Linked DNA regions of Pelodiscus sinensis. The protein of the gene in region 1 interacts with the protein of each later gene in a pairwise test. Links are inferred from orthologs where the notes say so. Each region holds a gene or a part of one and is shown in the gene's direction. Other genes may lie near its edges.

The links. The genes of interacting proteins can lie anywhere in the genome.
Region 2: the proteins of CDR2 (region 1) and TCHP interact in binary tests that used the Homo sapiens proteins (3 or more experiments, as listed by UniProt). The two-hybrid records come from large-scale screens. The link is inferred for Pelodiscus sinensis from reciprocal best matches to the Homo sapiens genes CDR2 and TCHP.
Region 3: the proteins of CDR2 (region 1) and PKN1 interact in binary tests that used the Homo sapiens proteins (3 or more experiments, as listed by UniProt). The link is inferred for Pelodiscus sinensis from reciprocal best matches to the Homo sapiens genes CDR2 and PKN1.

Annotation. Positions count from the first base shown.
Region 1 is NC_134726.1:22,798,680-22,802,619, reverse strand, and holds the start of CDR2 (cerebellar degeneration-related protein 2), read left to right. Parts: upstream 1-1,345; 5' UTR 1,346-1,527; coding exon 1,528-1,606; intron 1,607-3,940.
Region 2 is NC_134725.1:37,852,041-37,855,640, forward strand, and holds the start of TCHP (trichoplein keratin filament-binding protein), read left to right. Parts: upstream 1-960; 5' UTR 961-1,112; intron 1,113-1,382; 5' UTR 1,383-1,452; coding exon 1,453-1,643; intron 1,644-3,052; coding exon 3,053-3,263; intron 3,264-3,600. UniProt on the Homo sapiens protein: Tumor suppressor which has the ability to inhibit cell growth and be pro-apoptotic during cell stress. Inhibits cell growth in bladder and prostate cancer cells by a down-regulation of HSPB1 by inhibiting its phosphorylation.
Region 3 is NC_134729.1:10,472,440-10,476,039, forward strand, and holds the start of PKN1 (serine/threonine-protein kinase N1), read left to right. Parts: upstream 1-873; 5' UTR 874-990; coding exon 991-1,029; intron 1,030-2,536; coding exon 2,537-2,834; intron 2,835-3,600. UniProt on the Homo sapiens protein: PKC-related serine/threonine-protein kinase involved in various processes such as regulation of the intermediate filaments of the actin cytoskeleton, cell migration, tumor cell invasion and transcription regulation.

The DNA of each region.
Region 1 (3,940 bases):
ATGCTCTACAGACTGCAGGAGTTCCTGAACTAGTCAATTGGGCAGTTTTTAGTGGTCTTCAGTACTGTCTGGTCAGTCTCCCCCCTGCATCTTTTAAACACATTAAAATGTAGCTACAAACCCATGCTTTCTGATGTAAACAATTACTGTAATTGGTAGAGACATAACTGCAAATGGAAGGGAAAAACATCTGCATGATTATGAATAAGCAGAAAGGTGAATACTTGAAACAATGTCCCCCTTTACAAACTGTTAGAGTACCCAATTTCTAAGAGTTACCAAGGATTGTTCCTTTTTAACACCAGAGAACTGGGCTTGACAATGAGTACACAGAAGGATCTAGTGGACAGTTCACTGAACTAGAAGCTTGGAGACCTTCGCTCTCTTGAGAGTTGGGCAAATCATTCTTCCTTTCTCCCACAGTCCCATCCTTCCCCATCTGTAAAGTGGGATAAAGATTACCCTTCTTTTCATTCATAGACCTTTAATTTTTGCAAAGTACTACATAATTTCTAGGTATTGTCTCGGATAATTATTTTCAAACATGGAAGCAGCTACTACCATGCTTCACTGTGGCCTGAGATAAGCTTGCCATAAAAACACTTGGCTACAGAAAGCAATGCTGTTTGGAAGCATTTGAACAGAACCAAGCATTGATACCTTTAGACCCCAGGATGCTTTAGGGACCACACACAGACAGAGATCACTTCGGGGACTATTAACAGCATGCACCTATGAGCCCCCTGGACTCACCTGTTCCTAACCCTCTGTACTGCGCTGTCATTCCCACCCTCCCACTATAGCTCCCCCTTCCTGTCCCACCCCACAGCTCCCCCATCCCTCTGTACTCCTCTCCCATTCCTACCCCTTCAGAGCTGCCCCACCCCTCTCTGTACTTCACCATGCCCACCGCCTACGAGCGCTGGAACTATTTTATAGTGGGGATAGCAACTGACCCAGACTGTAAACCTGGGGTGCTGCAGCCCGCCTAGCCCCGGCTCCCATCCTTCCCAACCCCTATTTCTCCTCAACTCCCCCTCCTCCAGCCCAGGAACCTACTCCCGGGAATTAACCCCTGACAGCCACTCCAACACCCCCTCCTCCAGCACGTACTGACCGACTCCTTGGCTCCGCCCTCCGGCTGGAGGCTGCGCACCTATCTCGGGGGGCGGAACTTAATCGGCCCAAACCCACCTTTCCCCCCACTCCACTGGCTGAGTGGAAGCTTTCAACGCTTGATTGGGCGGCGTTCCGGTCGATCCCCTAACGGCGGCGTGCGATTGGTTGTCCGGCAGGGAGGTCAGAGTGCCCGTTTTGAATAATCGTTCTCCTTGTAGTAAAAGGGCGGTTGCCCATGCCACGTTGCTGCCGGCTGCGGTGCCGGGCCCGGCCTGGAGGCGGGGGGGACTCGGCTAAGTCCGGAAGCGCTCGGCAAAGTCCGGCCGCGGCTTTAAAGGAGTTGAACGGTCCCCGGCTCGCCCCGCGCCAGGCTTGTCGGTGAGCGCGAGGAGCCCTCGGGGGGCCGCGATGCTGGCCGACAGCCTGGTGGAGGAGTTCGAAATCCGCGAGGATGAGCCCTGGTACGACCAGCAGGACCTGCAGCAAGGTGAGCAGCCTGGCTCCGCGCGGAGGATGCCCGCCTGACGCGGGCTCGGGGCTCAAGCGAACGGCTCCCGCTGGGCGAGGCGATGAAGGAGCCTCCTCCGGCGGCGTCTTCAGGGGATGATGGGGGTGGGGGGCGACAGGTAAGTCCCGAGGGGGCGCGGGATGAGGACAGGTAAGTCCCGGTGAGGCGGGCAGTTGGGAAACGTGGCTGGGGGGGGGGGGGGGGGAAGATGTGTGCGCCCGGGCGGGGAGCGACTGAGGGGAGCGAGGCGAGGAAAAGGGCGAGGGCGTGGAGAGGACAGAAGGGCACAGTTGCCCCCCCGGGGCTAGCGCGGGGGTGGGTTATTATTTGGGAGACATCGTTAGGCTGGGGGCGCACGGAAGGAGGCTTTGTGACCATTGACATTGCAAAGCGTTTGCCATCCTGCAGCTTCTGAGGGCACCGGGGATTTAACCAAGAACAGCAATTCCCTGGGAGGCGCAATGGTATCGTGCGAGGTTTTTGGGCCGTACGGACTTGTGCAAAACGAACCCTGCGAGTGGCTTCGTGTACCTGGCTTCGGAGCTGGTTCTTCCCTTAACTTTGTTCGCGTCCTGCGTGTGCCACTCCGTGAAAAGCTGCACCTCTTGGCGTAAAGCAGCTTGGGAATGGGAGTGCTTTCGCTGCAGTGCTTGCTTAAAATAGAGCGGCTGAATACTCCTTAGGGGCTTCCACACCCTGCAACCGCCTTCTGCTTGTCTGTAATTAAAGGGCTAAACACTAGAGCACATCTGACGAAGTGGGTCTTTGCCCACGAAAGCTTATGCTCCTACACTTACTTCAGTTAGTCTATAAGGTGCCACAGGACTCCTTGTCGCTTTTGCAGATTCAGACTAACACAGCTACCCCTCTGATACTAGAGCACAATAAAGGTGTTAAGTGGGCTAGTCTTTTGTTAGTCTTTAACTAAAAGAAACTTAAAAACAAAACAAAGCAATGGTCCTACAAGGACCATTGTTAACTTTATTGTGGATAGAGGGTCATTTACTGCTCTCAACTCCTCCTTACACAGGTCCTGTTTACAATTTACTGTGAAAATTTATTGACTAATTCCAATATATGTGTGCTTCTCTTAATACTATAATAATTATGTAGCTCTTATAGGATACAGTTACACCACAGGACAAAGTCAAATTAAGATATGCAACTTCAGTTATGTTAATTATATAGCTGAAGTCAAAGTACCTTATTTCAGCTTTTGGTACTGTTTACACTGCAGGAAGTTGAAGGGAGAGCACTCTCCCTTCAACTTCCCTTACTCCTGGTGAAAGCAGGACTACCGGTATGGACCAGAGTGCCCCTCTCAGTTTGAATTAGCTGTCTTAACTACACTCTCTAATTCAAACCCTGGAAGAACGAGAGCTGGAGCTTCAATCTTCCTCTGTAGTGTACATGTACCCATAGTGCTTTTTCATCAGTAGGTTTCCATGTAACTTTATAAAGCTGGTTTGAGACATAGTAGTATAGAGTAGTGTATGCAGTAAAATGTATGGCATTATCAATTTTCTGAACCTCCAGTAGGCTTTAATTGGAATGCATTTAGAACAAACTATTTTGGGTTTAGCACTATTTAAAATTGGTATTTTAGTCTTATTTTTAAATAAGCTATTTATGTTCTTAAATGGTCAGTTCAGAACTGGAAACTCAGAGAAGGGGCTTCCTCAAAACTAGATTTAATTAAAACTTGGTTTCTCTAAGCTATTCCTCATTTAAGCTCTTTGAGGTTGGGACAGTTCTTTTGTTTTGGTTGTACATTGGCAAGCACAGTGGGATCCTGATACATGACTAGGGTTGATAGAGCCTATTGCATTATAAAGAATAGAAGTAGAAAAAAAAATCATGTTTTTCATACTAAAGTCAAGTAGTTAACAATAAAAATTCCATCTCTGCTAACTGTTGAATAGCTGTACAGCAGTTTTCAGCAGTTTTCATAGATTGTAACTTAACAGGATCGCATACCCATGAATAGTTTGCTGTTGTCTGGAAAAACTGGTGAACCATCTAACATTATTTTCTAATGATTTAGACTTTTTTTCCAATCCATTGTAAAGCTGTCACTATTCAGAGACAAACCTGTCTCTGTGAATCACCTAGCTTCCTCATGAAATGTACAGATCCTTTGGGCTGATCTGAATGAAAATAAATGGAATAACCTTTAGTTGGATTTCTTTTTATTATAATTATTATTCTTTGTATCAAACTGTTATTTTGTGTTGTGCTTAAAAGTTCTACCTCCCAAATGGGACATTTCTTTGATGGTTATGAGATTCTCATATGTCAAATAGAATTATATAC
Region 2 (3,600 bases), on another chromosome or scaffold:
TCTGCAGGCAACAGCGCAAAAGGGACTTTTGCCCGAATGGGAGCAGCATAGTATTTCCGCAAAAAGCACTGATTTCTTACAGTAGGAAGTCAGTGCTTTTGCGGAAATTCAAGCGGCCAGTGTAGACAGCTGGCAAGTTTTTCCAGAAAAGCGGCTAATTTTCTGGAAAAACTGGCCAGTCTAGACACAGCTCTCTGGTAAAATGAGCTAATTAAATGATCTGATTCCCTGATCTCACTTCCTTTACCCAGAGGCCTGATGAACTTCTAGTACTCCCCTTCCACCCTTCTGCGTGGCAGAGTCCTTGCAATCCCAACAAGGTCAGGATTCCTGGAGACTCAATCCTAACCTTGTCGTGATCACCTAGAGCTGGAGTTAGGGTTTGCCCATGTCCCAGTGCTCCCTTCACAGTGAACCTTTCACTGACCCACTGATTGCATAGTGTTCAAAGAAGACACTAGCATTCTCCTACTGCTCAGACCCTCTGGAGCACTCTTCTCATCCCAGTATAGCCCCTCTCTCTTCCTTCTAACCCCATTTCCAACTAAATCACAGCCTTCTACAGTGCCCCTAACCATAACTGCTCACCCCCTACTACACATGTAGATTTGCTAGTTTCGAAGGTGCCACGGGACTAGGTTCTTGTCCCCTGAGTGTCTTACACAGCGTCCACTGCAAGGCAGGGCCATTACAAGTACCAGGGACTGGTTAGTGAGGCCGTCACATGCCTCGCTAACCTGCCCCTGCGCACCCTAGGGCAGCTTTTCAGAGGGGGTGTCTGCTGGTGGCAGCGCAAAGCCGTGCAGAGTGAAGGTGCACGGCGCCCGTGTGAGCCCCACATGGCACTGAGGAGGGTGCGCACGACGGGTCTCCGTGCAAACGCACGGGGTTTGCACGAGGCCATATGGGGAAACACAAGGGGCGGGGCGGGGCGAACTGCGGAGAAGGCTCGGTCTCCTTTTCTGGCTCGCGAGCAGGGGCGGCGTGTCCCTCCCAGGGGCCCGTAGCCCCTCCCGGAAGCGTTGCCATGGTGTTGCGCGGCGGAACCCGGAAGTGGCGAAGCCGTTACAGCCTCCTCGCGGAGCTATCCGTCCAGAGGGAAGCCCCTCTCGGTAATGGCCGCTCGGGTGGGTGGAGAGTGGGGGGATTTGCCCTGGGGCCGCCACCGCCGGAAGGACTCGTTGGGGTTGCCGGGGCCGGTCGTGGGGGCGGTGCGGGGAGCAAGGTGCCCCCTGAGGTTTTGTATCCATGTGCGGAATAAGTTTTGTTCTGTGCACAGGGGGGACGCGCGGATGTGCACCACCAGCAGAAACAGGCTGCCGTGTGTGGGCGCTCTGCTGATCAGCTGGGTGGCACCTGAATCTCTCCTGGGGGCTTCTCAGGTTACAGGGAGCTGCTGTGGCGCGTGTGCCCAAGGCAGGGTCCCGGTGGCTCCCCCGCTCTGTCGCACAGATGGCACTGCCCACGCTGCCCTCCGCCTGGCCCAGTCACAGCAGTGCCCTGGAGAAGCGGATCGTGCGCCAGCGAGAGCAGGAGGCCCGCTGGCGGCAGCAATGGGAGCTGCACAGCCGCTATTTCCAGCAGTCTGGAGTCTGCAGCTCCAAGCAGAACCAGTGGGGCTCGCGGCAGTCCTACCAGCAAAGGTAACAGTGGGGAGGGAGGAGGGCCCTTAGAGTGTATGGGCCCTGCACAGTATTGTCAAACTGTGGCCACTGCCCCCAATGTCATGGGGGTGGTGGTTTTAAACTCTTCAGCAGCACACTAGTGCAATAGTGGTTTACACTCAAACACTCCTATTTAAAACTAACTCTTTAACTAATAAGCAGATGCTTATTGGTTACCAGTGTCAGTTACACACAGCGAAGCCTTCTCCCCCGGAGTTAGGCTAGCAGGGGCTGGCGGTCCTGCTCCCAAGGATGCTTTGCTGTGGGCTCTGCAGTATAAAGCTATAAAACACAACAGAAGGAAGGATTAAGCATCAAGCTCTGAATAAACTAAGCTAAGCTTTATACTTCAGAGCCCGCTGCTTGGGTAATCATGAACCTGCTTAGTTTTTCAGCAGTTAAACGATTACCCCATTAAGCAGATTTTTTTTTTAATATGTCTAGTTTTAAAGCAGATTTTTAAACTAGGGTCCTGTTGACTCGCACAGTAAATCTAGAACTTGACAGTATGTACCCAGAGTTGACAAATGCCTGTTAAATGGCTTTGTTACCACTTGAATGGCTCTTTCACAGGTTTGAGGTTCTGCTGATAGCTCTGGCAGGCTTTTGTAAGTTAACTAAAACCTCTCTGGAAGAAGTGAAGCCATGGAACAGGGATAGGAAGAGGCAGGTGGGTAGACATTAGGACCCAGAGGTGCCCCAATTTTTCAGGTGCCCTATACCAGTGTTTCTCAACCAGTAGTACGAGTACCACGGTATTTGAGAGCAATCTGGGGGGTACGTCAACACAACTGAAATGTGGAGAAAACTGAATTTTTGTTTTAAGATTTACAGCACTTTATTATTTTTGAACTTTTTACACTCAAAAATGTCATCTCCTGCCCGGCTACAATTAAGTTGTTTAAAGAAATGTGTTGCAATGGTAGAAAAAAATTTTGTTTGTCTGAAAACTGTAGGTACTGGAGGATACTTTTTTTTAAGGGGGTACTTTATACAAAAAAGGTTGAGAAACACTGCCCTACACAGATGCATATTCTGCATACGGGTAAGGCTGACCCTGTGGGGAGGAGGGTGGACAGCAGAGGATCACCATCACAAATGTTTTGGCTCTTTGGTTTGTGTTCTGGGCCCTCTGATACCAGACCATGGGGTATCACCATCATCTACTTTTTGTAATAAGGGCACAGTGTCTTGTAAGTGAGCATGCAAATGTATGGGAGCCAATGGGCACTGGCAGGTACAGTCTTAGTCTGGTAAACTGGGAATATTTGGAACAGCCAGTTGCCTGTATCATTAGACTAACACATGCCTCCACTGCCCTCTGTCTGGATTTTGCTAACTAGCTTACCTTGGGCTTGATGCTTCCTTCTGTTGTGTTTCTCTGTTAGCATGAACGCATATCACCGTCAGAAAATAAAGGAAGAAAAAAAAATCAACCTGGATCAGAGGCGAGAACAACTTAGGAAACTTTTGTACGAAGAACGAGAATTGCTCGCTGACGAACTCAGGGAGCTGAGACTGACCAAAGAGTCCAATATGAATAAGATCAGAGAGAGAAGTGATGATTTGAAATCTGCTAAAGAAGAGCGCCGGAAAAAGGTAACTTGTGAGAAGTGGTCTGAGGTGTGTATTTGTGGGATGGATGACTCATAGGTTGAACTGGGGTATTTTTTGAGGATCTATATTTGGTTCTTCCAAAGCTGTATTCACTTGGGCTACGTCTACACTGGCCCCTTTTCCGGAAGGGGCATGTAAATTTCACTAGTCGTCGTAGGGAAATCCGCGGGGGATTTAAATATCCCCCACGGCATTTAAATAAAAATGTCCGCCGCTTTTTTCCGGCTTTTAAAAAAGCCGGAAAAGAGCGTCTAGATTGGCCCTGATCCTCCGGAAAAAGTGCCCTTTGAAGTAGGAATAAGACCCTCCGGAAAAGGGC
Region 3 (3,600 bases), on another chromosome or scaffold:
TGTGCTGCAGGGGTGTGTTGGGCAGCTCAAGGGGGGTTCCCCAGAGGGACACCAGGGGGCGCTGTGCTGCTGGGAGTGGTGGGAGGGGCTCAGGTCACCCAGCGGCTCTGGGAATGGAACCCGGGTGTCCTGCCTTCCAGCTCAGTGCCCATTGCTGAGCCCGCCCCTTGTTTACTGGGGCCTGTCAGAAGCTCCGGGGTGGGGACTGGGCAGCACGTTACCCAATCTGACCCCTCCCCACACTCAGCACCCCCCAGAACTCTGGTAGCAGGAGGGAGCAGGGTGGTCGCACAGGGGAGGATGCTGCCCCTCCCACACCGTGCGGGCGCCGGCCCTGCTCCGGGTCAATGGCAGGAGAAAGCTGCCTGCCCCGGGGCAGCTCAGGGCTGGTGAGTCTCGAGTACTGAGTTGATCAGGGTGAAGAGAGAGTGCCCCCCACCAGCCTCTGGGGATCCCTCACCTGGTGCTGAGATGCAGCCACCTCTGGGGTGGGGCGCAGGGGCTGTTCAGCAGACATCCATGTATGAACGTCCCAGTTTTGGGGCCTGGAGGCTCTGCCCTGGGGTGTTTTTAGGGGGAGCTTGGCCCCTGTCAGGGGGCCCAGTGTGCAGCATTTGGGGGCAGCAGCGCCAGGGCGTGTGGTTTGGGATGACTCAAGAGATGGTCTGGGAAGCTTCTGGGGGGTGGGGGTGTATGGTCCCTGGAGATTGGAGCACAGGGGGTCTCCCTGGGGGCATGTGCGAGTCAGTCCCAAGCTCAGCCTGGCTCTGGGGGGCTCTCACTCCCGTTAACCCCTTGGGCCCAGGCCGGGCGGGGGCGGGTCCAGCAGCGCTCGGGTGGCGGGAGGCAGTGCTGTGAGGTGCAGGAAGGGGAAGTGGTTTTGTGATATGGTGGGGGGGGCTAGACTCCGAACAACAGGAGGGGGGTGTCGCCCAGCTCAGACCCAAGGACGGACGGGGCCTGGCCTGGCCTGGATCCCCCCGGGCCAGGATGTCGGAGTCAGACTCCTGCTCTGAGCAAGATCTGGAGGTACCTGGCTGGGTGGGGGCCCCACGGGGATGTGAATTGCCCCAGCCCGCTGCTCTGGCACAGTGGAGACAGGGACGGTGGCCCAGCCATGGCAAAGGGCCGGTGGGGTTGGGGGGGGACTCACAGGGAGGGCTGGTGCTGCCTGCAGAGACTGGGGGGCGCAGGGGAATCAGCTGGTCCTAGAGCTCTGCATGGCAGGGCGCTGGGCGGGCCTGAGAACCGGGGTGGGGCTGGTGCACCATGCAGGGGGCAGAGTACGTTTCCTTCCCCGCCATGGCTGCTGCTGCGCCAGCTGCCTGCAAGCTGCCGAGGGGGAGGGGCAGAGAGGAAGGGACGGTTCAACTCCCATCTAGGCCCCCCTGACATCTTCTAGCCAGCCCCCCTCCCCCGAGCCAGGGCGGCTCCCCGGGGTGACGTTAACCAAGGCGCCTCGTCCCGGGGGTGCGGGCGGTGGAAATCTGCCAGGCCTGCAAGGGGAGCCGGGAGCTCATGGGGCTCCCTGGGAACATCCTGGAGGCAGATTTCCAGCCCCCGGACTCCTCCCCAGAGATCCTGGCCCAGCCCGGAGTGTGGGGATGCTGGTGCTGTCCTCATTCAGTAGGGCCCCCGTTGGGATCACCCCGCCCCAGTGCCCCGTCATGGTGCCAGAGGCTGCTCCGAGCCCGACAGGCATCGCCCTGCTCCCATTGGGCCAGGCACTGCCAACCCGACTGGGATTCCCCCTCCTCCTCCCTGGGGAAGAGACCCGGGTTGGTCTCCCAGTTCCCGGATGGGGGAGCCGAGGCCCAGGGCTGCTGTGGCTGGATCTCGTGCCCGCTGGGCTCTAGGATGAGTGGCCAAGCATGCCCCAGCTGGGGCACTTCGGGGCTGAGCGCTGGGAGTGCAGCCTGTCTGTAGAGGAGCCAGTCAGCCCCAAGCTCCCTGCCCTCCGTGAGCTCGGCAGCCCATGAGGGTCTGACCAGGGACAGATGCACCCAGATCAGCCCCGAACTACCAGCCCTGCCTGCTGGGCACAGAGGGCCAGCCCCTTGCGCCCTTCCGGTGTGCCAGCTGCATTCCCTTGATGTGGTGGCTGCATCACGTTCGCTCCTCCGGCTGAGCCCTGTCCGGGAACCCCTAGCCCCTTTCCCAGCCAGGGCAGGGGGCTAGGATGGGGGAGTCCATCCGCATGGGGGGAAGTGAGGGGTCAGTGCGCCAGCAGAGGCATGGTTCAGGAGAGGCAGGTGGGGGGCCAGGGAAGGAGCTGTAGGGGCAGTTGTAAAGGTGGCTGTCAAGGGGCTGTTGGGGGGCAGCTATAGAGGGGGGTGGCAGAGAGGGACTATTGGGGAGCACCAAGGGGGCTGGCAGGAGGCCTCTGAGGATGTGGGTGGCAGGGAGGAGGCCAGCAGGGGGTAGCCGAGGAGGAGGGCACGAGGGGGCAGCTGAGGAGGAGGCCGGAGGGGGGCAGCGGAGGAGGCGGGCAGGGCTGGGCGCTGCAGGGCCCCCTCACCTGCTCTCTCCCCTGCAGGGCGAGCAGGTCTGGTCGGTGCTGGAGCAGCTGGCCTTGGAGCCCAGCCCCGACCTGGCGGCCAGCAGCGTGCAGCAGCGGCTGGACGAGGAGAAGGAGCGGATCCGGCGCGAGATCCGCAAGGAGCTGAAGATTAAGGAGGGGGCGGAGAACCTGCGCCGGGCCACCACCGACCGTCGCAACCTGGCCAGCGTGGAGAGCCTGCTGCGCGGCTCCGACCGCAAACTGCACCAGCTGCACTGCCAGCTGCAGCACCTGGACGCCCACATCATGGTCAAGGAGCCGGAGGAGAGTGGAGGTCAGGGGGCGGGAGACGGGGGGCGGTGCTGGGCGGGCAGGGAGCAGGGTTCACTGCTGGCGGACCCCAGCGGGGTCACACGGGGCAAGGAGGGGGGTCCATGCCAGTGGACCCAGCCCGGCGGCTCAGGGCTCCGTGCGCTAGGGGGTCTTGAGATGCTGCTAGCTCAGGGCTGTCCGTCCTGGAGGACAGAGGTGCCTGGGGCTGGGACAGACAGACTCCCAGAGGGGTGCCTGGGGCGGGGCACTGCTCTTCCTCCTGTGCTGCAATGCAAGAAGCAGAAAGGGAGCCACAAGGCAGCAGGTGCTAAATAGCACCCAGACGAGTCTCCATCAGCCCTGGCAGCAGTAACCAGCGGAACTCCTCGCCACTAGGTCTTGGTGAGGCCAAGAGTTAGGCAGAATTCAAACAGGCGGCGGGTGGGGGAAGGGGGGTTGTCTGGGGTCTGGGGTGGGAAAGGAGGCTCTGAACACCCACAGAGTGGGCAAGGAGCCCCCACTCTGGGTTCTGGGGTCAGAGTGTCAGTGCTCGTGCCAAGAGGCAGCTCTTCATCCAACTCGCCAGCTGTCGGGGCAGGAGGGCCCAGCCCTGGGAGTGGATTCCTCCATCTTTGGTGGTAGCAGGCAGCCTCCACCCTCAGAGACTGGATACCGGGAGAGGTGGGCCCATAGAACTGCTCTGCCATGGGGATCCGGGCTGCACGGCAGAGCTGGCCCCATGGAGGGCTGGGGGCAGTGCAGGCCCTGGGGCTCACAGACCCAGCTCC